Lytechinus pictus: one gene and its partner. The protein of the gene in region 2 binds, or shares a complex with, the protein of the main gene of each other region. Links are inferred from orthologs where the notes say so. Each region holds a gene or a part of one and is shown on either strand. Other genes may lie near its edges. The genes, in order: vacuolar protein sorting-associated protein 72 homolog and inhibitor of growth protein 3-like.

Region 1 (12,768 bases), about 30 Mb from region 2:
TTAGGTAGCAGAGAAGTGTAATTACATACCCTGTTTGCGTTTGCTCCAACTTGTCAACATTAACATCTATTTCCTGGATCTTTGGTTCAACCGGCATTGTTGTGGAATGAAAGCGAATAAATGGACCTGTGAATCCTTTCTTGAACACTTTCGTCTTTTTCTTCTGTTCTTCTAGCTGTTGGAAAAGGTCTACAAAAGAGATAAAACATATAGAAAAAAATCAAAATTATAAAATATTATAGAGAAATTAACTTCTGAAGGTTTCCATGGCAAAGAAGATGTGTAGTGCGTTTCACAGTAAACCATGTATATTTCTTGGGCAACTGATGGTCCGGAAAAGGACCATCCAAACTCGACATTTTGACAAGTGTTTTCTTGTCATCTTCAGAATGAAGACCACAATATTTTGTCACACTCACACCCATGCGTTCTTCAAAGCTTTCTGTTCATTTCCTAATTCTTTATGTCGCTTGGGCAATCTACAGAGTGGATTTGGCAATTTCTAAGTCACATGTACTAGTATTATTATTATAAACATCCACATATGTGCACTTATTTATTTTTTTTATCTTTGTTTTTAATCCACAAACTGCCCCCCCCCCCTCTCCAAAAATTTATTTTTCAATCAATTGTAAGTTGTAACACAAAAATTACTGATAAGAGAGTTGGTCTAAAAATAATCAAGAACTCACATAAAGAGTGAAGATTTTTCTTCTCTGTGATCTTAGCCTCGGCAAGGAGCTCCTCTTGAGTGAGTCGTCTCATCTCTGGAACGTTCTTCTTTGTCTTCTGTTGTTTGATGATCTGTGCTTTGGTCTCACGCTCTTTGATCCGAATCTCAAACTCATTCACCCGTTGGATGGTTGACCGTCGGCTTGACTTGCGAACTGAGAAGACAAGAATTTCAACAATATTTTATTCTATGAAGACTTCTCATTAACACTACAAAATACTTCCTGGCTTCATTAAAACAATCTCCCATAATTGTTCTTGAAAAGAATTGAGCCCACTGATTTCATCCTACATATTTGGGACTCATATTAAAAAATAGGATGTAAGTTTGACTACTTAAAACGTGCTTCTTCAAACATATTAGAAAAATAATGCTGGAAAAATGTTCACAATTTATATCAACATTGAATAATTATATTAAACACCCGACTCATGCCCTAAATGAAATCTTGTAATATAATGGAGATCCTTGAATATATGTCCATCCATGCCATCAAGGCTTTATGCCATGCATGCTATATGCGCAGATTGGGTTGGTATCAGATACCCCATTCCCATCAAGGTCAATGCACTGACTATAATAATTGTTACATTTATAAAGCGCTTATTACACTTTGTTTCTAAGCACTTTACATTGTAAATATCATTACCCCGATCATCGGATCCTATCATGCCCGCACACAATGTATGCACTTTCTCCACTCCTTGGGGAGCATTCCAACAAGAGTTCAAAGACTCAATTGCTAGGCATATGACATAGGTTTTCGCATCCTACCAGATATCCACTTAACACCTGGGTGGAGAGTGGCAAATTGTGGATTGAGGCCTTGCCAAAGGGCGCTAGGCCGCGGTGGGATTCAAACACACGACCCTCTGATTGCAAGGCAAGAGTCAGAACTGCTACACCACGACGCTTCATTTTCAGCTAGCCGAAAATCATTTTGGTCAGCCAAATAGAGTTTCAAGAAGTTACATAAGGCATAGAGGCAACATACATCTACAGCTTAGTAACATAACATCCCAGCTCAAGGATTCATAGATTTGAAAGTTAAAGGACAAGTCCACCCCAACATAAAGTATATTTTAATAAAAAGAGAAAAATCCAACAAGCACAACACTGAAAATTACATCGAAATCGGATGTAAAATAAGAAAGTTATGACATTTTAAAGTTTTGCTTCATTTCACAAAATAGTTATATGCACATCCTGGTAGGTATGCAAATGAGGAGACTGATGACGTCATCCACTCACTATTTCTTTTGTATTTTATTATATAAAATATGGAATATTCTAATTTTCTTCTTATCAAGTGAAACAACATTAATTCCTCCCTGAACATGTGGAATTAGCATTGTTTAACCCTAATTCTCCCGGGGGGGGCCATAATGGCCCCCCCCTCGACAATTTTCGCGATATATCTGCTTCGCGAATTTTTTTTACCTCGCCGCTCACTGACTTTTTACTTTCAAGTCTCGCGCAAATTTTGAGACCAAATTTGTGACGCCCGGGTACGCGGTTACGACATTACGCAACATTATATAAGTGCATGTCAGACCCAAAATTGCTCATAAACGTGATTTCATGTACAAATCCAATGCAAATAGTGTATTTAGCCAAAATTCATAAATGTATCATTATTTCTACTTTTACTGATTAAACTTAATTAATTTTGCCTTGTTTATGATCAGAATTAAGTCTGGAACGATTTCCATAGAAAAAACAATAAAAAACCAAAAGTAAAAAAACAAAGAAATACATAAGAAATTCATAAAACAATAAAATACATAAGAAATTGATTTCCAAACCGAAGTTTTTTTTTATTGCGATTGTTAAGAATGCTACAAAGAATATTTTTACCAAAAATTAGCATTCTAGGAGCTTTATTTAGTGAATTAGAGCAAAAAGTATGATTTATGCATAAATTAGCATAATTAATTCATATAAAATAAAATCTCAATATTTTGGAAAATTTTACCATACAGCCTTGTAGATTACATCACACACTACCAGCGTGCAAATTTTTGTGTCGCTCGCGCGATCGGCGGCCGAGATCTTAAGGGGGGGCCATAATGGCCCCCCCCCCCCGGGAATGACAAGAATCAAAATACCCCGGGAGCTTGAGGGTTAATACTATATGGTTCAATCAAGTTGGTCCTTATTGCCAAATCTGTAAACAATGAAATATTGTATAATTCAAACAATAAAAACAAAAGAAATAGTGACTGAGGGACATCATCGACTGTCTCATTTGCATGTCACTGAGTTGTGCATATCACTGTTTTGTGAAAAATAAGCGAAACTTTAAAATTTCACAACTTTCTTATTTTATGTCCGATTTCGATGAAATTTTTGGTGTTATGCTCGTTTGATTTTTTCTTTTTTTATTCAAATCTACATTTTTCTGGGGTGGACTTGACCTTTAAAACCTTACTGAGGAAGTTCATTCAGCCAGTCCCATCAAGGTTGACAAAACATTTAATCTCAAGCTTTAAGGTTTCAGAGATCTCATTTGGACTAAAGACTTTGTTCTATCCTGAAAATGGCACATACCTGAACTGGAATCTTCCTTGGAGTAATGTTTCTTCTTCTTACTGCTCGGTGTGGTAATTTTCGCTTTCTTTTCCCTTGGGGTGTGACTTGTGGGAGATTTTTTCATGACAGGCTTCTTGGCAGGCTCCTGGAATAGGAAGATATTTATAGTAAAATCAAACTCGAGAAGTTGCAACAAGAAATCATTTAGAGAGGGATTTGCAATAGCAGATTGTACAGTACTTCTGACTACTTCTACTACTGACAATTTCCTAGCATTATTTCAGCAATCTCATACTTTTACATTCTTGGTGAAGTAAATCTGAATTGCAATTTCATTTAATAAAATACAAAAAGAAAAGCAAGTATATGACATCAACTCCCTCTTATTTAAGTGATGACATGCACAGAAGTGTTGTAAAAATACATTAAATAAACTGTACCTTACCTTTGTTATTTTTAAAATCTAATTATCCATACATGTTTACATAGGGGAAATAACATGAGGGACACCGAACGTGTGATTCTTCAGTAGATGATCGCAAGAGCAATTTTGACTATCTATATATACCTTGAAAAAATTATAAGGTAACAGAGTACAATGATTGAAAATAAAAATGAAAAAGTAAGGTTTTACAAAGAAAAGGTGGTGAAACTATAACTTTGACAAGGGATAAGAGAGGGTCTAACCTTGTAGGATTTAGTAATCACTCTTCGTTTTCTCTTTGGTCCATCATCATCACTATCACTGATTGGTTCATCATCCTCTGGGGCATCAATATCACTATCAGATGATGAATCCGCTTCACTCTCCTCACTAGAATATTCCTCATCACCAGATTCCTGGAGTAATCACATATAACAGAATCTATCAACACCAATCGGGTATTATTCAGAAATGGGTCCTCAAGATGGTTTAAAACAGTAGTCTATCTGCATTTGAACTATGGGGAAATTTGCGACTCTAAAGTTTTTGTATAAGTTACTTGAGTTGATAATGATCCTGTTCTGAATCTTTTAATTATAACTTTTTAGGTTTCTAGTGTTGCTGTAGCTTGTTTGTGGTCTATATTATGGTTGTTCCACTTTATATGTTTGTCATTTTGCCTCCGACGAAGATTCTACTAGGATCGAAAACTTAGGCCCCTTTTTGACTTTCTAATTATTATTTTATATAGGAATCAGTTTAACAGAATGAGGTGATTTTCCCCCTTTTAGGTGGAAAAATAAAAGTAATTTTAATTCCAATCCATATGTAGGATTTACATTTCAGCCTGATATCAGCATATATCACTGAACAAATTAATACACAACCTAGATATTATAAAAAAAATGTGTATTTGGTCTACACTCTTTGCAATAGAATGATCTTATTCAATAAATAACTAGTTTTCACATGAACTGGCATATAGGCCTATACATATGTGACTCTGTGTAAGTCAAACTCTTTATGCCACATAAGCAAATAATACAATTTTATCAGTAGTTACTTTAAATTCTTACAACTTTTTGTCTTATGGAGAGCAGACTCATACAAAGTTATTATTTTGCAGACTGATTATGCTTAAAGCATACATTTCCATAGTTACCAGCCTGCAAATGCAAGCTTTAATAGTCTCAAATTAGTCATCTATACTGTTTACTTAAAGTAATCCTCACCTCCTGGAAACCTCCATATGTTGTTTTATAGAATTCATCCTCTTGTTCTTCAGCAAGGAGTCTGTGCATCTTGCTGCCAGCATTGGCACGCTTTTCTCTTGTCTGGACCAGTGACATGATTATAATAGTGTGATTCTCTAATGGACTGTGGTATAAGAAATGAGAAGAAAAAAATAGAAAAGTACCAGTGCTGGTTGAAACTGAAGACCCTTTTTTTTGCTTGTCAATTTTTTTCATGGACGAAATACCCTTAATTGTTAATAGTTAAAAACCTTTTTTTATGCTTGTCAAAATTTTCCTCAGGAAAATGTGCCCCCTTTTGGAAAATCCTGGATCCATCCCTGCTGGTTATCATCTTTGAACCTGTTTTATTTTACAAATTGTTCCAAGAAAATCTGAACTTCTAGACAGTAGACAAGCATTAGACCAAAAGCTTTGGTCTCTGTTATGTTGGTTGTTCCGCTGAACTCCGTTGGCTCCACTCACCGAATACAGAGACAGAAGTTCTAGCTCGATCTGTACAGGGGACTCAATGGCCATTTGTTTATGTATTAAGTTCGGATAAAACAGGGAAGTGAAGTTGCGCGACAGCCGAAGTCACTGTTTTTTCCCCTTTTAAGTTTATTTTTCCCCGTTTCGGTGCATTTCAGGCCAAAACGGAATGATAATCTTTATTTTGGTACAGTTCTTTTTATATATTTTTATGAAATAAAGACAAAAATCGATGAGCCCCGTCAGGGGGATTTTGCATTTTTAACCCCCTAATGGTGGCTGCACGATAGCGAGCCGTCTGTGTACGAGGAGAAATATATAAAAAAAATAAAATGTTTAAAAAAACTCTTCGAAACAGACGGCTGCCAGTTGTCTAGACAAGCATCAACTTTCAAGCAAACGCCATTTTTACACGCACATGTCCCTATAGTTAATTGGGATAAAAACAAATCCCATGGCATTTCAACCTCCATCTGATACAATTATTTTACCTTTGACTTGTCTGCCTTATTCTTTTCTAAAGGCAAGCTAACGTTAGATCTTGTCTTCTTGTCTTTCCGTTAATGCCCACAATCATTATATTGATTATTATGGCATATGAACGTCAAGATTGACTTGATCTAAAGTTAGTTCTTGAAGTTGAAAAGTGCGCAAATTGCAAATTATGCCTGCGCCTGTCACCCTATTCACTTCACTGTATTCATAATCATACCAACAGGCAACACACACACAAGATCGAAAACAGAATTTCACGATAAGGCAACGATTAGAATGTCAATGTAGCTTGGTTCAGTTGCTTTTCTCACTTTCTCAACACCAAAAAATTCATCCAAACTTGAACCGCTGAGGCTCGACAAACAGGCGCGGCGCGGAATGGCCGGACCAGGCTGGGGAGAAACTTCCCGCCGAACCGCGTACGTGGACCGCGGCGGCCTAGCCTACGACCTGCTACGTCCCTAGCCCGGCTGCAACTTTCAAACGTTAGGTGTGCTATAAATTCTATTTCGCACACTCTCTAAGTAATACTTCAGTTTGAATAATTGTAAAAGAATGTCATATGCATTTTGATTCACTAAAAACTTATGAAAATATTACCAGAAGAGTGAAAAAATGAAGAAACTAAACGCCGACTTGTGCAAAGATTTTTTTCCTGCAGGATAATTGCGTCATTGGGTGATTTCAAGTACGGTGTTGAAATCTGGTGTTGGTGTTGTGACAACACCAACACTAGCCACAACACCGTACTTGAAATCAGGATGGTGTTGGGATTGACCTCGGAAAATATGACTTATTTCCGGCAGTTCGTGTTGAATGCTGGTGTTGAATGTCGTCTGCTGAACCCAGCACTGCGGCTGGTGTTGACGATCTACGTGCAATTTCCCCATTCACCAACACCAACCCCCAGGGATTGGGAAAATCATGATTTCAAGTTCGGTGTTGGTGTTGGTGTTGGCAATCTCAAGCTCTTGAACAGGCGGCGAACACGATGAAACATCCCCGTAAAATTAGCTTTTACAGTTTAGCTAAGTACAAATCATTTGAGCTGTATATATTTTGATGAAGAATAATGTTCACTCTTTTGAATTCTTGAATTAATTAAAACATTTGTATTCTGAACGATGAGCATTTAATGCATTTCTCTCAGATTTCATTTTCGTCGTCGAGACTTCTCGCGTGAAGTTGAGATGATTTAGCAGCGCAGCGCAGAGGCGTGACGTCATGTGCTATCGATAACGCAATCGGTATCATTCCTCTGAACCCAGCTCGGTGTTGGAGCTCGGTTCAGCGGCCTTTTTATGCTCTCAACACCAACACCAACACCGAACACCAAACTTGAAATCACCCATTATATACCGATAAGTACCGGTTACCGTATACCGGTATATACGGTACCTTATCCGTATGCGTATCCGTCCCCGGCCCGTACTACGAAAAATAACACTAGTGCATTCATCACGCAAGTGCAAGTTGACTGGGTCCTGGGATTTGTGTTAAATTTTTTCTTCAAACAAACTAATAATCAATAAAGATAAAGAAATGCCATTTTTCAACAAAACCCCACACCTCGGAGCTGCCATATTAGGAGCTACGATGGGCAGTGTCGGGACTGTAATACCATTTATGATGTCTCTTTCGCCCTTCTCAGTCTCAGCATCAAGCGGAAATGGAGCTGGAGAGACCCCCAGAGCTTCGGCTTGCAAGGATGCCTCTATTCCGCTGGTTACACGTGATGATTTGGAGCTTAAGTTTGTGCAGATTTTGTTTAGACATGGTGCTAGAACGCCACTAGGATCTGGATGTATCCCAAAGTCTGAGCAGGTAGGGTGTTTAAATTGGCCATCTCACAGTCACAGCTTCTTACATTTTATTTTCACTCTTCACATTTCAGAATTCAAGTGCAAGTGAAGTGACCAGCCAACAATTTGCACTTGCTCTTGTTGCGGGGGGGGGGGGGGGGGGGGGGGGAGAGGAAGGAAGGGGGAAAAGTAAGAAATAAACACAGAAAAAGAACAATAAAAAAGAAGAAAGATAATAGCAAGAAAAGAAGGAATCAAGAAAGAAAGAATCAAAAGGAAGGAAGGAAAAAAAGAGAGAAAAGACAATTTAAACCAAAGAAAGAAAGAAGTATTATGAAAGGAAGGAAGAAAGAAAAAGAATGGAAGATAGAAAAGATTCTTTAATGGGAAGAGATGAAAGGAGAAAGAAAGGAAAGGACAGAGAAAATGAAATAAATGAAGGCTGAATGAGCTGGGAGTGGGGAAGAAAGGACGATGGAAGAAAGTAGGAAAGAAAGAATGAAAGGAAGATCTATGAAAGAAACTCTCATGTGAAATGATGTGATCATCGTTTATGTTGTTATCAATGTTATGTGATTTCTACAGCCGTCTTAGGTTAATTTGGGAGAGATTCTCCCATGAGTCCAATCCAACTGTATGAGAGGCGATCTGCCACATATGATTTTTCAAAATAGGGATATGAATTATAAGCAAATTTGATAAATCCTACATAGATTGAATCCTGTATAGTGATTGGTTCAAATAGCATCATGTGACCAAATATATTTCAACTATAATGTTTGTGACGTCAGACCTCGATATATTTTTCGCTATACCAATATTCTGACGTCATTATTTCAGAAAACTGGATATTTAGCTAAACTCTCGGGCGCACCGGCCAGCGAGCTCTCTCTCCCGGGCCGGGCAAGTCCCTTGATGCGTTGGCGCAGGCACTAATCTGCGTTTCGCTGAGCGCGGTGGCTCGGAGAAAAGTAGGTAATTCAACGCAAGTAACCAGACTTTGCAAGCTCAGCGCATAGATTTTGGTTATAAATTATTAAAAGTAGGATATAAAACAAAATATATCAGGCATTTCATTTGAAAGCATAGTGGGAATTATTAGTCCTCGGTTGGACTGGCAAAACTAATATATTTCTCTCGGGGTTTCGCCCCTCGGGAAAAATAGTAATTGCCAGACCAACCTCAGATAAATTCCACTATACTTTTTCAAAGCCTGATATATTTGTTAATTGTAGCCTTCTACTGTAGTTTCTTTTTTTTTTCATCCAGACATCCACAGACAAAACAACTTGGGTTCTGACCTTGATAAATCCTTGGTTTGAAAAAAATAATGCCTTGTTTTCAATATTATTTCTTTCTTTGATCAATTTGCAAAGCAAGTCTTTATTACTACTATACTAGTATATATTCCCATATACTGACATCCCTAAAACTATATGTAGCAAAGGTGTTGGTGACTTTGATTACAGTATATCTAGTAGATGCATGATTATAGTGAGCAGAAGTCATCTTTGTTTGTATACCAGCAAAAAAAAATATCAATTAGGTTTATGGTAGATGTGGTTGCTACTTTGATGGATGGGGTCAAACCAATTTATTTTTGTCTCGCCTGCATAGCAGAGCGAGACTATAGGCGCCGCTTTTCCGACGGCGGCGTCAACATCAAATCTTAACCTAAGGTTAAGTTTTTGAAATGACATCATAACTTAGAAAGTATATGGACCTAGTTCATGAAACTTGAACAAAAGGTTAATCAAGTATTACTAAACATCCTGCCTGAGTTTCAGGTCACATGATTAAGGTCAAAGGTCATTTAGGGTCAATGAACTTTGACCATGTTGGGAGAATTATTTTCAAAATCTTAACCGAAGGTTAAGTTTTTGAAATGACATCATAACTTAAAAAGTATATGGACCTAGTTCATGAAACTTGGGCATAAGGTTAATCAAGTGTCAGTGAACATCCTGCTCGAGTTTCAGGTCACGTGACCAAGGTCAAAGGTAATTTAGGGTCAATGAACTTTGGTCAAGTTGGGGGTATTTGTTGAATTACTATCATAACTTTGAAAATTTATGGATCTAGTTCATGCAACTTGGACATTAGGTTAATCAAGTACCACTGAATATCATGTGCGAGTTTCAGGTCACATGACCATGGTCAATGGTCATTTAAGGTCAATGAACTTTGGCCGTGTTGGGGGTATTTGTTAAATTACCATCCTAACTCTGAAAGTTTACGGATCTAGTTCATGCAACTTGGAGATAAGGTTAATCAAGTATTAGTGAACATCCTGTCTGAGTTTCAGGTCACATGACCAATGTCAAAGGTCATTTAGGGTCAATGAACTTTGGCCAAGTTGGGGGTATTTGTTGAATTACCATCATAACTTTGAAAATTTATGGATCTAGTTCATGCAACTTGGACATTAGGTTAATCAAGTACCACTGAATATCCTGTGCGAGTTTCAGGTCACATGACCAAGGTCAATGGTCATTTAAGGTCAATGAACTTTGGCCGTGTTGGGGGTATTTGTTAAATTACCATCCTAACTCTGAAAGTTTACGGATCTAGTTCATAAAACTTGGACATAAGAGTAATCAAGTATCACTGAACATCCTGTACGAGTTTCAGGTCACATGACCATGGTCAAAGGTCAATGAACTTTGGCCGTGTTGGGGGTATTTGTTGAATTACCATCCTAACTCTGAAAGCTTATGGATCTAGTTCATAAAACTTGGAATATAAGAGTAATCAAGTATCACTGAACATCCCCTGTGAGTTTCAGGTCACAAAACCAAGGTCAGTTAAGGTCAATTGGGGTAATTGTTGAATTGCCATCATAACTTTGAAAGTTTATAGATAGAGTGAATGAAATGTGGACATGGGTGTAGTTGACAAGTCTTAAGTCACCGTTCAAATGTCATTTATGGTCAATGAACGGTATTATGTCATTATATGAATGATGTTTTTGTGAATGATTATTTTATAGTAGTTTTCAAAGTTAGCACTGCTGCTAAAATCGCGTAATGCAGGCGAGACTGCCAGAGGCGTTCCACTTGTTTTATTATAATTGTATTATAATATAGTTCATCAGAAATCATATTCCTTTCTTGTCTTATATATCTAGGCCAGTCATAGTGCTGTCATCACTAAGTAAACTCATCACTATCACTTTGCTCATCATCATACTCACCATCAAGATATATATAGTGTTTTTTTATCATAAATGAGATTGCACAGTGAACACACTTAAAGGTGATTTTGTTATGCCTTTTCTAATTTAATTTGATTTGAAATACAATATCTCTGATGAACAGAGAAGTAATGTTATGAATTCTTAAATGCAAAATAAAATGCAACAACAAGAGAGCAGCACTATTTACAAGTAGGCTTGCATAAAGGATGTTGAAAGAAAACAAATGCTACATTGGACTACTTAAATCATTGATCAGACACCTGACAATCACTGTATTGAGCTTACAGTATGTGTACAAAAATTAATCTGTTCACTGGTCAACAGTGTACTTGTTATATTTCAAGAGGTTCGTGAACTAAAATCATTTTTTTTAACCTTCGCAGATTGATTTGGAAATAGTGGAAAATGAAGTGAATTACGCTGTGTCATTTCAAATGAACTTGAAGAATGCAAGATTATTAATCAAACATTTCTTTTTTTGTCACTATTACAGAGCGTTTGGGATAAAGATACTTTATTCCAAGGAGAAGCTGATCTATGCATTGATTACAAAGTTAGGGCTTTAGATGGAAGACCACAGCCTGAATGGAAAATTGAGCAGTACTACAGAAAGGCTCCACTAAAGGTATGTTTGTTACAAGTATATTCACATGTTTGGATGAATTTCATAAATCATGTGGTAACAAAATTTCAAGTTTCAAATAACATACAAATGCAATACAGGCTTCCTGTGCTTTATTCAAGCCAGTCACCAGTGTGCAGGAGATGCAATCTTTTGCACATACATGTAGGCAGACCAATAGAATAAATAAATTTAAATCAAAGTGTCACAGTTAACCAGCTTCATTAGAACAAAATTTAATAAGAATTTCATGATATTGGATTTCAATCAACCAGGTTGGACTCTAAAAATGAGATTACTGTGCAGGATTTTTTTTTTTTTTGGGGGGGGGGGCTTAAATACAATTGTTTAATTCTGTGTACATGTACATATGTGCAACCATATTTTTTAATGTACTTTTATAGCACTACAGGCAAATAGATTCAAGCATGCAGAAATGATCCCACTGTGTAATCTTATTTCCATAGCGCTGGTTGGTTGATTACAGATTTGAAATCAGTATATGAAAGTTTTAATGTAGATAGGAAAATTCAGTTCCAGCAAACCAGAACTATTCATAGTATTTTTATTAAAATTCTTGTTGATTTTTGAAATTTTGAATTTCTTTATATTAAACTGGAAACAGCATTTCATAGATTTGTGTTTTGTCATTTTTTTATTTGCCAACTGTTATGCATTTGCCAAATGATATGTTTAGATTACAGTGTTACATTATTTTTCAAACAATATTGATGATAGGACAAACTGCACTGCATTTCACTGAAACCAGCAAACAAACAAGTTTACATGTAAACATATTTTCCTTGTGTCTGTAATACTCAGGGTGGATCTTTTAAAGGTCAACTTACAGCCAAAGGTATGAAACAAGCCAATGATCTTGGAAAGGAATTGAGAAGACATTACATGGAGAAACTTGGATTCCTACCCAAGGAATTCAATCCACAACTGGTATAGTAAGTGTTTAGTAGAACCAAAGTTTCATGATGGTCAAATATAATAATGAAGTGCCTGTTTATCAAGTATAGATTGTAGTAACCCAGGGGGTGCATTGTGGTTCGCCTCAACCTTTTGCAAGATAAAACTGTAACATGAAAAGCTTGCACTGAAATGTGTCATTACTTTTTTTTATTTTAAGTCTTATGCAACATATGGAACTGATTTCTGATGCCTGTGTTCGAAGTTTCAATGTCAAACAACATTTTGTAAGTTAATGTCAGACTCTGAAACGCAGCAAGCATGA
Region 2 (13,182 bases):
CATTTTTTCATACATGTGCAAATGATGTGTCTCCATTATGATTAAATAAGTTGCGGCAGTAAATAACTAAATGCACTTAATCAGTTGTCAATCCAATTGGTTGAGTTCTTGGTATAAAAAATTAAATAAAGTAATTTCATATAATAAAATACAAAGAACAAGTGGGGATATGACATCATCAGCCCGTCACCTAATTCATGAAAACATGCCTGGCCGATAATAATGCGAATCTTTGAAATTCAATAACTTCGTTATTTGTTATCCGATTTTGATCAAATTTTCAGCATTAAATATATCCAACCTGGACCATTCCTTTAAAGCTAAAAATGGAACACTCTATTAATGTTTTGGAAATCATGGATGGGTAATATAATATTGCGACCTGGATTCTCGGCATTCCAGAAACTTTTATTTTAATTTGAAAATCAATAATGCGAGCGCGAAGCGCGAGCTGAAAAAAATTATATTCTGATCTGTGGAAGGGTAAAATAGTGCATTATTTCAATTTTCAAGCACTGTGTATATAGGAAAATTGTAAAGTTGATATGGATCGCATTGATCAATGGTGCGATCGAGCGTTAGGTGCGAGGTCATTTTGATTTTAAAAAATGAATATCTTTCGATAGCTCGATATAAATCTTGTGGGAAAGTTTTTTTTAAGTAGTTTTAAAGTAGTTTTTTAGAATTAATTTAGAGATTATTATACAAACTCATTTCTTGTTTATCCATTGGCAGAAAAGAATCCTATATATATATGCCTATAGGACTACGGTAAAATGATGAGATTCCTGCGTAAACGTAGGGCTACCTTAACAAAAGCTGCGTTGCAGTTACGAAATTGTGTGTGTGTGTGTGTGGGGGGGGGGGGTGATATGCTTGCCACCCCAATATTTTCTTTGATGGGACGATCGCCCCCTTGCCCCCCCCCCCCCCCGGATCGACGCCTCTAGCTGCTTGACATGACAGGCCTGGGCCGATCAAGTCAACTACTTTTTTTTTGTTTTGAATAATATTTTATTTTCTTCCTCTTTCAAATCAATAAGTTTACAATCACAATTCATATAAATAAAGATTCTTTGTATGTATACAATCAATAAACAATCAAACAAATAAATATATCAATATCAATGAGATTACGAATATTTTTAAAATGATTACAAATGAAATTAAACTGCCAAATTTCTCTTCTTTAACAATGTGAAAGCAGAGGGGAAAAACCCATATCAATCGACAAAAAAAAAACAAAAAAACGTACTTTGTAAAAAATGACCTTTTCCCTGAATAGAATAGAAATAATCTCTTGCACATATTAATTGTACAAGAAATAAAAAAAGGATAAAATATTATTTTAAAGGTTAATTAGAGGAAGGTTATCCTAAAACGTCCCTACACACTCACCTTACCCCCATACCCCCTCCCCCCTCATCTCTCTCCCCAGACACTCACACAAGCTCACTTCAACTCACCACTACTCACAGCTCTCCCCCCCCCCCCCCCTCTTCCCCATCACAAAACTCACACATCCATCTACACACGTACACCCACACACAATGCATCCTGCTCTGGTACAACTATCTGTATTTGAACAAATAAACAAAACAGAAACAAAATGAAGCAACCAATACATCCATAGTATTAAGAAAGGTATGCATTGATTTGTTCCCATTTCCTTAAGTGCACCCCCAGCTTCCCCTTTTTAAACGCTATTTTATATTCCGTGTCTCTATACTCTTTAACCAAATGTGTCACTTTCTGTACGGTTGGCAATATTCCCTGTTTTCTTGAACTAAAAATGATATACTTAATTAAGAATATAATACAGTTTATTAAAGCTACTCTTGTAGTATTTCCAGATATCCCCATGAAAATTGTTTTCCAAACGTCACTGCCAAGTTCATTCAGTTGAAATATTTTACTCATCTCTTCCCATAATCGCTTAACTTCAGGACAATAAAAAAATAAATGTTGGTAAGACTCAACTTCTTTTTTACAAAAGGAACAGAAATTATCTGTCTCAAAACCGAATTTAGAAAGTTCCCTTTTTGTGTACACAGCCCCTTGTAATTGTTTGTATTGAAATTCTCTGTGTTTATTGCATAGCATTGCACATTTCAGTCTCAAAAATACTTCTTTCAGTTCCCCCATTCCCAAATCATATTCGGATTGCCCATCTGTAACATGAAATACATAATCAATTTGAAAATTTTCAATGAAGTGGTCATATATTCGTCTAGATTTTATATCACATAGTTTCTGAACATGCCCACATATCATCAATTGAATTTCAAAGTTGTTTGTATCCATTTCCATAAAATCATTTTGTATTCACTCTTCTGTTATTACTGAAAATATCTTTTGAATTTTGAGCAAGTTTTCAGATGAAAATTTCAGATTATACCAGTATGAAACTGGTCTTAATTTACCTCCAACTATTATATCCGAGACCTTAACTATACCTTTCTGAAATAATTCAATATCAAAAAAGGTCTTATTATTAAGGCATAGACGCTTGTTATTAAAAATAATGGGATTACTTTTCCCTCCAAAATGTCTTCACTTATCCAATTCGTGCCATGCCTTCAGCATATCTATGTAAAATAATGGTATACCTTTTAAATTCATTCTACTCGTATCATAATCACACAGAAATATGATTCGACCACCTAAAGAGCTAAAAAAATATTCGAAGGTTGCTTTCCAACCCGAACTTTTCCCTCCATCTAGCAAACGTTTAATCCACATTATTCGTTGGGTCTTAACAAAGACCTCAAAAAAATTTGGAGCTCTCAGTCCTCCAACAGAATAGTCTTGATATAGAACTAAACCTTGCGTTTTATTCTATCTCTTCCTCCCCAAATAAAATTAAAAGAAATTCTTTCTATTTCCTTAAAAACGTCTTTTGGGACTGTCATCAGGGAAGAAACATAATTTAATTTTGAAAATGCATACATTTTCAAAAGTTTTATTTTACCATACATCGTAAGATCTCTCTGCTTCCACCAACCAATAAGTCTTTTAATTTTACTCAAGATTTCCTTATAGTTCAAGTCATCTTTGACTTTACAATCCCGTGCGAAATATACCCCTAAGATTTTAATATGTTGTAACCAATGTCCAAGAAGTGGTAAACCAGGTCTATCTCTTTCTTCTCCCAACCATAAAAAGTTTGTTTTATCCATATTAATCTTCAATCCACTTAAATTTTCAAAATCTGAGAATATTTTCTTTACTCTATGGATCGAGTTCATATCTTTTAAAAACAATGTAATGTCGTCTGCATACAGAACTTGTTTTATTTCCCGTTTCCCAAATCCTATCCCTTTAATATTAACATCTCTCCTAATATAATGAGCCACTGGCGTAAATCCCGGGGGGGATGGGGGGGATATATCCCCCCCACTTTTCGAGGAGGGGGGGGGATGGCCTGTACAAACATCCCCCCCCCCACTTTTTGCGAAATAAATAAAAAAAAAATCACAAGAGATAATTGTTTTATTGGTGAAAATTCTTCCTAAAATACCGCTTAACAAATAAAACAATATTATTGAATCATAAAATGCAAATAAAGAGCCAGTTCACCATTTCCAAACGAAATACTTATGTCCTTATTATAACATTGAAGAGAAACCCCCGTTTCTTCCAATTCATCAATGTTGGGGTCTTTGGGAAGGGATTAAGATGGAATGTCAATTTTTTTTAAATGTAACCTCTAATAAAACCATTAAACCATCATGGGGTAAAAAAGATAATAATATTGGAGGGGTATTTGCCATATGGACATACAGTGGCGTAACTACGGGGGGCATGGGGGGCACATCCCCCCCCCCCCCATCGGCTGACCCCAAAAAAAAACGGGGAAAGGGGAAAAGGAAAAAGAGGGAGAAAGGAAGAGAAACGTAGTGGGAAAGAAGAAAATATTATTCATTATAATGTTATATTATATTATAATTATGTTATGTTACATTACATAAGAAACATATTTATCATAACTTTATGAAACATAATTTGCCCAGGGCCTACGTCTTCATTGTTCCTGGTGCTCGCATTGTCTGTTTAACGTGATATATAATCCTGTTGTACTAAAACATCCCGTTTTCAAGTCAATATAAACCAAATATATTTCCTAGCACTTGAGTTATCATTGTTTTATGTAGTGACATATGCTTCTTTTTCACGACTCAAAAAGTGATTGCCCAATGTTAAGGTCTTCGTTTATATGAAACATTTCCTGTCCGTGATTACGTTCGCATTAGTGGATTGGTGAGATATGTCTGCTTTTCATAAATTCCTAAAATCAGTCCTTAAAATGTCCCTTCTAATCTGAATATCAAACATTTTCAGCTCGCGCTTTGCGCTCGCATCATTTGGTTAATGGAATACGTATGGTCCTAGTTAATTCTTACAAAAAAACCTTAGAATGCCCCACTTCAGGTCTGAATTATCTAAATTTTCAGCTCGCGCTTCGCGCTCGCATTGTTTAGCGAGACAGGTACCTATCATGTTTACACAAATTTGATTATAATGTCCCTTTTTAGGTGTGAATATAAAAAAATTTCAGCTCGCGCTTCGCGCTCGCATTATTTGATCAGTGAGATACATATCAGTTTAATGACATTGTCCTTAAAAATGTCTCTATTAGGTCAGTATAACTGGCAACTGAGCGCGCTCACTAGCGCACTCACTCAGTGATTCAATTTTTTTGCTGGTGCCCCCCCCCCCATGCCGTGACCCACGGTACGCCACTGTGGACATATCAATGGCAATTCCTTGCATATCTAAAAACATGATTGCAAAAAAAATGCCAAAATATTTCAGTCATCCCCCCCACCCATCAACACGGATTTACGCCAGTGTAATGAGCTAATAATTCAATCGCTATGATAAATAAATATGGAGAGAGTGGATCCCCCTGCCTTACTCCTCTATTAACTTCAAAATATCCCGTAGAATGCCCCCCGTTCAACACGCAACTACTAACATTATAATAAAGAGTTTTGACCCAAGAACACAGATTTTTCCCAAACCCGAAATGTTCTAAAGTTTTGAATAAAAGTTTATGAGAGATACAATCGAACGCCTTTTCAAAATCCACTGCAATTAAAAAACCTAAGGGTTGATACAAAGACTGAAAAAACATATCATCAATTAACCGAACTGCTTCCCCAATATTACGATCTTTGACATAACCCACTTGATCACAATGAATAATATCTCCCAAGACCTCTTTCACCCTTGTCGCTAACACTTTTGACAAAATTTTATAATCTACATTCAAAAGAGTTATCGGCCTATATTATAGTTTTTCATGTGCAAAGGATTTTTGCCTTCTTTTTCAATTAGAGTAATTACCCCCTGTCTCTGCGAATTTGACAACATTTTAACTTCAAAACTCTCATTGAAAGCTTCAACTATGATTTTCCCTAAAAGTGGCCAAAATGTAAAGTAAAACTCTGCGGTAAAACCATCATTGCCAGGCGATTTATTCCATTTCATTTCCTTTAAAGCCTGAAAACATTCTTCATGTGTTATCGGATATTCACAAAACTCTCTATTTTCTTTACTCAATTTGGGTAAATCACTAAAAAACATGTTTTCAATATCATCATTAGTTTCAAGATTTTTACATGCATATAAATTTTTATAAAACTCCCGAATGATTTGTATAATACCTTTGCAATCTCGCACCGTTTCCTCATTTTTATTATAAATCTTCTTAATCGCACTAATTCTCCTTTTATTGGATTCAAGTAATTGTTCAAAGAACTGTGAATTTCTTAGTCCTTCCTCAAACCATTGGGCTCTTGAACGGACCTTTAGACCTTGACGAGAATAGTCGAAAAGTTTATCTAGTTCCTCTTTTTTAAATTCAATTTCGTTTTGGATATCAATATGAAAAGTGATCGTCAAGCGATATTCTAAATCTTTAATTTCTTTTTGTAATTTTTCAATGTGAATTTTTCTGAGTTTTGCTCTTTCACGGGAAAATGCCATTATATATTCTCTTAACTTCATTTTCATAAATTCCCAAAATTTAATCTTGCTTGTTATTTGGTCCCGCCATATTCTTTCTATTTCAGAAATCTTCATCTTTACTCCGTCTACAAAATCTTTATCAGAGCATAAACTGCTGTTAAACTTCCAGTACGATCTCCCATATGCAAAACTTTCGACTAAATTATCAAACTCGACCTGAACTAGCATGGTCAGGAGTGATTGAGGGTAAAATGTTTGAACTTTTCACGTCTTTTTCTAATTTCGAGGAGATAAAAATATAATCCAATCTGCTCTGAACGAAGGGATTATTTTGTTTGAAGGTAAATTCTTTCTTTGTTAGGATGCCGCTTCCGCCACACATCAATTAGATTTAGCCTATCAAGAAAATCCACCAATGAATCTTTATATCTATTCTTCGAAATATTACTTCCACCCATGTAGTCTAAGTTTCGATTCATAGCAATATTAAAATCTCCTCCAACAATAAGAGAATATTCTTGACCAACTACAGAAGATAAAACTTTGTCTAAATCAGACAGAAAATTACATTGTGAGTTTTCTTTATGTGGGAAAGTATACACTGCCCAATATAATCTTTTCACCTTGACACTTTCCTTTAATTATAACATATCGTCCTTCTTTATCAATGATAATTTTTTCTTTGAGAAAATCAACCTTTGATTTAAACATTATGATAACTCCCCTACTGTGGTTACTTCCATGACTGAAAAACATTTCCCCCTTCCAATCAGCCTTCCATCCACCTTCAGTGTCTTTTGTGCTGAAAGTTTCCTGCAAAAATATTATATCCCCCATCATCTGACACCACTGAAATATTTTATTCCTTTTGATTCTATCTCTCAACCCTCTGACATTGACCGAAAGTAATTTTAAGTTACCCGACATCAATTAACACAAAAAGTCTAAACCTCTGACAAAAAATTTGGAACAAAAATATGAATGATAATATTACTGCAAATTGGTAGCTTGATTTATTTAAAATGACAAAATAACCTATTAAACTAAACTGGAGATGAGATAAATACAGACAGACACCAGAACTGGAAAACATAACACCCAACATATCATTCCCCTTCACCCCAACAAACATAACACATACACTTCTGCAAACATACTCAAACACATTCCCATAGACTGTCCCTACTATGAAACCCAAAGAAGAAAGACTTTTCTTCATGTCCTAAAAACAAATGCAAATTATGAATAGACCTATTTTGAGGCCTCTCCCATCCCTCCTGTGATTTGAAAACTAAAATTAAAGATTCAAAGTTATTTTCACAAAATTTATCACTCCCTCCTAAGAAAACAACTAAATTACCTCACTGATCCCAGTGTTTATACTGAATATAACAACTACCTACCGGCCGTCAACATGGTCAAAAACGCCATCTGCCGTTCCAATATTACAGTAATAAGTTGAGTATTCTCCGAAGTCCAATCGCTCGGTGATTCCCTGGAAAATATTCGAAGATGTTGTATTTGGAAGATTACCTTGAGAGTGAGTAAATTGTTATAATTCACACTTCTAACTTTAACTATAAGTTTCGATGTACAAAAAGTAACGTACAGCTTATAATATCGGTAATAAATGGGAAAGATCATTTTGCGGGAATTTTAAATGTGTGCGTACGGTGCGGTACCGGTACCCAGTTGTTGTGTGTCCGGACGATCAATTTTAGAAAGTCATTTGGAAAAATTTACAAGCGAAGTTTCATCAATTTTTAGTACAAAATGTTAGGAAATATTATAGAGAACAAAATAGAAGATGATTACAACTATTGAATTCATATTTTTAGTGTAATCCAAAGACAAAAAGAAGGCTTCAAAAATATAAAGTGTCCGGACACCCGACCCCCCATCCTACCGTATCTACTGTTATGGGATAGAAAGGGGTGCTCGTATTCGGTCAATCCTTTGAACGTATGCCCACAGCTTTCCATTGAGAGAATGTACAATTAATGGCAGAGTATTTCCGGTCACAATATTTTGCATGCTGTAAAGGTCAAGTCCACCCTAGACAAATGTTGATTGGAACCAATTAATAGAGGGATTTTCAGTTAACTTATAATGTGGTATGTGGTGAAAGTTTAGTATGTATATTATGTGGATTGTGGTTTGTAAATTGTATTTGGCGGAACAACCAAAATACAGAGACTGAAGCTTTTGGTCTAGTAGGCCTAGTATAGTAGTAATTAGTATGGGGCTAGACCAAAAGCTTCAGTCTCTGTATTTTGGTTGTTCCACAGAACTGCGTTGGCTCACTCACCAATAGTTACATAGACTGAAAAGCTTGGACTAGTTGGAGGCCCGTACGTACAGACAACTTATTAATATTAGCAGTAACGTTAGATCTAACATTCGGCGGAAACCCGATTTTCCGATCGCTTTTTTGTACATAAAATGTCACATTATGAAAAAGAAATCACATCCATATTTACGAAAAAATGTATAAAATTAAGAAATATCGTACCTTAGACCGCAGTTACCGCTAATTCTAGGCACTTCAGGTGAAAATTAGGAAAGGCTGTTCCAGCATATTTGATGGGCTCACAATGAGGCTCAATATCTACGATTCACAAAACTGTTTGAATTTTCAAATTCCGATATCTAGAAGTCGAGTTATTGTCATCTTTGTGATGAAAAAACAGGCCTTTTTGTGGACAAAAGAAGATTGCGAAATCTTATTATTCTCTTTGTTTTGGGCATGGCACATTTATAATACATAGCTTATGGGGAATTGTACAAGCTTTTTATTTAAATCTTAAAGTACTCAGATTGATTTGACATATTGGCATATGATTTCTTTGGTTCAAGGGCAACTACCCCTGGACGATAACCCCCCACCCCCCACCCTCGGACAATTCCCCTCCCCCCACCCCCACCCACCCTGGACAATTACCCCCCCCCCTCCGGACAACTACACTGTACCCCTATCCAAAAATCTACACCTAACCTAACCCTATTTCGGGGGTAATTGCCCTGTGGTAGGTTTGTGCACAGGGTAAACATGACTTGATATTGATTTTCTTTGCTTGCCTTGAACATTAGAAATTAAGTTTTCAATGAATATAATTTGTAATCAAAGAAAGAGAATTAAAATAATAATCTTAGGATTTCTAGAAAAAAATAAAAAGAGATTGATTTCAATTGTCTATTATCTCATTGTCTTGTTATTATGGTCTCAATAAAATTGTTGATATTATTATTGTCTCATCATCGTTTCATTATTGTCCCAATAAGTATTATAATTATGATAATTATTATTATGATAATTATTTTTGTTTCATTAATATTATTTTCTGAATAATTATTACAATTATAATTACTATCATAGTAATTATTGTTATAATTATTTCATAATAATAATTATTATTGAAATAATAATTATTATTGTCTCAATAATTATAAGGCCTATAATTATAATTATGATTATTTTTATGATTATAATTATAATTATAATAATTTTTATAATAATAATTATTGATGACTTATCAATATTACTGTCTCAGTAATTATTACAAGTACAATTATTTTCATTATAATTGTTATCATTATAATTATTCTATAATTATTATTATTGTAATAATAGTTATTTGTCTCAATAATTATAAGGCCTTTAATTATAATTATGATTATTTTTATAATCATAATAATTTTTATAATAATAATTATTGATGACCTTTCAATATTACTGTCTCAGTAATTATTACAATTATAATTACTTTCATTATAATTGTTATCATTATAATTATTTTATAATAATTAGTATTATTGTAATAATAGTTATTATTGTCTCATTAATTATAAGGCCTATAATTATAATTACTATAATTATAATTGTTTCTACAATTATATTTATTTTAATTATAAGTATTATTATTATGATGATTATTATTGATATATCATTAATATTATTGTCTCAGTAATTATTACAATTCAAAGTACATCGTTATAATTGTATAGCATACTAACCTCGCAATACGTGTGAGTGTCCTGAACCGGATGCCACATGAGTCCATCCATCCTATATTCATCTCTTCTCTTCTTCCTTTCTTTCCTTCCTTCTTTTTACCCTTTTCTTTCCTTCATTCTTTGTTACTTTCTTTGTTTCTTTCTTTCTTCCTTCCATCCATCCATCATTTTTTTACCCTTTCTTTTTTTTTTTTTTTATTTCTTCCTTCTTTAAGCCCTCTCTCTCTTAAATTAATTCCTTCCTTTCGTCTATCTGTCTTGTTCTTTCCTTTTTCCCTTTGTTAAATCTATCCTTTTACCTTCCTTTTTTTTTCTACTGCTGGCTTCCTTTCTCTCCTTTATTCTTTCATTCCTTCCTTTCTTTGTCTCTCAGTCCTTCTTTTTTCTCCCTTTCATCTTTTCTTTTTTTATATTGCTTGCTTCTTTCCTTCCCTTCCTTTATTTCTTTCCTTCTGTCTATCATTTTACCTTTCCTTTATTTCTTCCTTAATTCCTTTCTTCCGTCTTTCAATCCTTCCTTCCTCTCTTTCTTTCTTTTGTCCTTCTTTCCATCTCTCCTTTTACCCTTTCCTTTTTATTGCTTCTTTCTTTCCTTTACTACTTTCTGGATTTGTTCTTTCTTTCTGTATTGCTTGCTTCATTTCTTTCCTTCATTTCTTTTTTCTTTTCTTTCTTTCTTATTTTTGTTCCTTCTTTACTCCTTCCTTCCTTTCCTTCTTTAGTTCTTTCTTTTTTTCCCTTCCTTATATATGACAAAAGGCAGCATTCATGAAAACAAAATATTAGGCTCAGTGTCACAGACTGAGGTCAGTCTCAATTGCTTGAGGATAGCTGGATGTAATAACTCCTAGAATCTGCATGTCATTCAAGCTATTTTTAGAAGTTAGTTAATGATGAAAGTTTAGCTCTTGTTTTGGTATATTTTTCTGAGAATTAACGGTATGCCACATAATATTAGGATAAGATGAAGCTAGATCTGGCAACATACTCAGATCACAATCTGTATCATTTGTGTTTGAACAATACAATTGATTATCTTAGGTATTTGCACTGACAATTTGGAGCATGATAAAATCCCAACTTGTGAATTCATGAGATCATTGATGATATTGCTTCAAAGTATCTGACTTTCACCAACCTCAACTTCTTCAGTGATGGCACGGGCTCACATTTAAAAACAACTTTGTATTCAGATATCTGTGTTACATGATGTAGCTCTGTGAATCCATGTATCTACAGTGGCACATCTTTGCAATATCACAAAGCAAAGGGGCTGTGGAAGGAATGTGGCGAGATCAATAAAATAAATTTATGTCATAGTATTTTGGTCAGCCATAATCACGATTTTAATGATGTATCTTCATTTGTACACAAGCAGCGCGGACAATGCAACAAAATTAGATACAGCTACATTTGTCAGCAAGCAAGATCGTAAGATTTAGAACATTCAAGATTTGATAAAAGGATGATTATACTCAGGATGATATTTATTTTGAACGAAAAAAATCTCAGAAGCGATTTACAAACATTCCGATTACCTTTCAACTCATACTCGATAATGAAAGACTGGTTTCCAGGTACTGCTATTATATTTTGAAATACTTTTTAATATCATTTTTTTTAATCTTAAAACTGACATTAATACAAGTACATATTCTTCATCATAAAATACATTTCATAATATGTTCATCTTGGATTTATACAGGTCTGGTACATTTTGTTCTCACAAAAAATAAGATTTGGTCTTTTCAGTGTGTCGTAACGGTACTATAAGTAGATTAACTATAAGCATTGTATTCTATATGAAATTATCATGTAGGCTATAGCTATTAAATTAATAATACCTGCCAATAATATCTACATGTTTTTCTTAAGAATGTTAGTCAAAGTATTTTGCTGTTACATAATTACATTCATTATTCATATTTCTTTCATTTTGAAACTAAGAAGTGCTGATGAAGTTCACTTCCTAAGGGTGTCATGTCTGTTACGCTAGTGTATATTGTCAAATAGTAAGCCATGAATAAAAAATAATCTTTACTATCAACTTTTTCTCTTTTAATTAGGTGTGGCGGATGGTAGTAACTGGAAAATACTCATTAACTGTTGTTAACTGGTGTAAAAGAAATTTTTCTAAATATTTTTTTGTTTTATAAATATTGTATGAAAGCCCCTCTCTCAAATTGCAAAATAATAGGAGATATTACAGATTACCAGTTATGATGTGTGTCTCTAACCTCTAGCTCCTTAACATGTAAACAATTAGACTTGTACCATAGCAGGGTGCTACATAACTTTTTTGAAGCACTTGCCCAGTCGGGCAAGTAAGTTTTCAAATAGTTGGAAAATACTTGCCCGAATATAGATTTCACTTGCCTGAAAAAATCCTTCAAAACAAAGTTTTATTGCTTCAAAACAAGTTATAGGCTTACGGATTTACATACCATACCATTGACGGCTTTATTAAATTATCATACATGTAGGCTATAGCTATTAAATTGATAATACCTGCCAATAATATCTACATGTTTTTCTTAAGAATGTTAGTAAAAGTATTTTGCTGTTACATAATTACATTCATTATTCATATTTCTTTCATTTTGAAACTAAGAAGTGCTGATGAAGTTCACTTCCTAAGGGTGTCATGTCCGTTACGCTTTTTCAACATGACTACTGATGTACCTCGTAGCTGTATTTCTTTTTTTAAATGATTTTTATCTTGTACATCATGACAAAATATATGGTCAATTTCCTAATCTTATATATTTTCCAAATATTTTGGAGGGGACTAGGACACACAATATTAAAAAAAGGGGAAATCACTGAAAATAACCAGAAAAAAAAAAGAAATTAAGAGAGGGGGAGAGAATGAAAGAAAAAAAATAAGAAAGACAGAAAGGAGGAAGAAATAAAGAAAGAAAAAAAAGAAAGAAAGAGAGACAGAGAGAATGGCTGCGGGGAAGAGAAAGATGGAAAAAAGAAACGAAAGAAGGAAGGAAAGAAAAAAGGAAGAAAGAAAAAATAGAGAAAAAACTGAGGGGAAGAGAAAGAAAAGAAAGAAGGAAAGAAAGGAACAAATAAAGAAAGAAAAAGGTAAAAGAAAAGAGAAAAAGAAAATGTAAAGGGTGGATGGAAGGAAAAGAAAGGGAAAGAAAGAAAATGAGAGAAAGGAAAGAAGGAAGAAAGAAAAGGTAA

What was found.
Region 1: inhibitor of growth protein 3-like (region 2) and vacuolar protein sorting-associated protein 72 homolog share a complex: the UniProt entries of both Homo sapiens proteins name them as parts of the nuA4 histone acetyltransferase complex. The link is inferred for Lytechinus pictus from reciprocal best matches to the Homo sapiens genes ING3 and VPS72.

What each region holds. Positions count from the first base shown.
Region 1 is NC_087247.1:35,240,574-35,253,341, reverse strand, and holds the start of vacuolar protein sorting-associated protein 72 homolog, read right to left. Parts: upstream 6,325-12,768; 5' UTR 6,243-6,324; coding exon 6,220-6,242; intron 5,067-6,219; coding exon 4,922-5,066; intron 4,106-4,921; coding exon 3,953-4,105; intron 3,411-3,952; coding exon 3,284-3,410; intron 888-3,283; coding exon 693-887; intron 190-692; coding exon 30-189; intron 1-29. Other genes in the region: lysophosphatidic acid phosphatase type 6-like, read left to right, coding at 7,451-7,732, 11,400-11,531, 12,351-12,481. UniProt on the Homo sapiens protein: Deposition-and-exchange histone chaperone specific for H2AZ1, specifically chaperones H2AZ1 and deposits it into nucleosomes.
Region 2 is NC_087247.1:64,843,633-64,856,814, forward strand, and holds the start of inhibitor of growth protein 3-like, read left to right. Parts: upstream 1-7,417; 5' UTR 7,418-7,485; coding exon 7,486-7,513; intron 7,514-13,182. UniProt on the Homo sapiens protein: Component of the NuA4 histone acetyltransferase (HAT) complex which is involved in transcriptional activation of select genes principally by acetylation of nucleosomal histones H4 and H2A.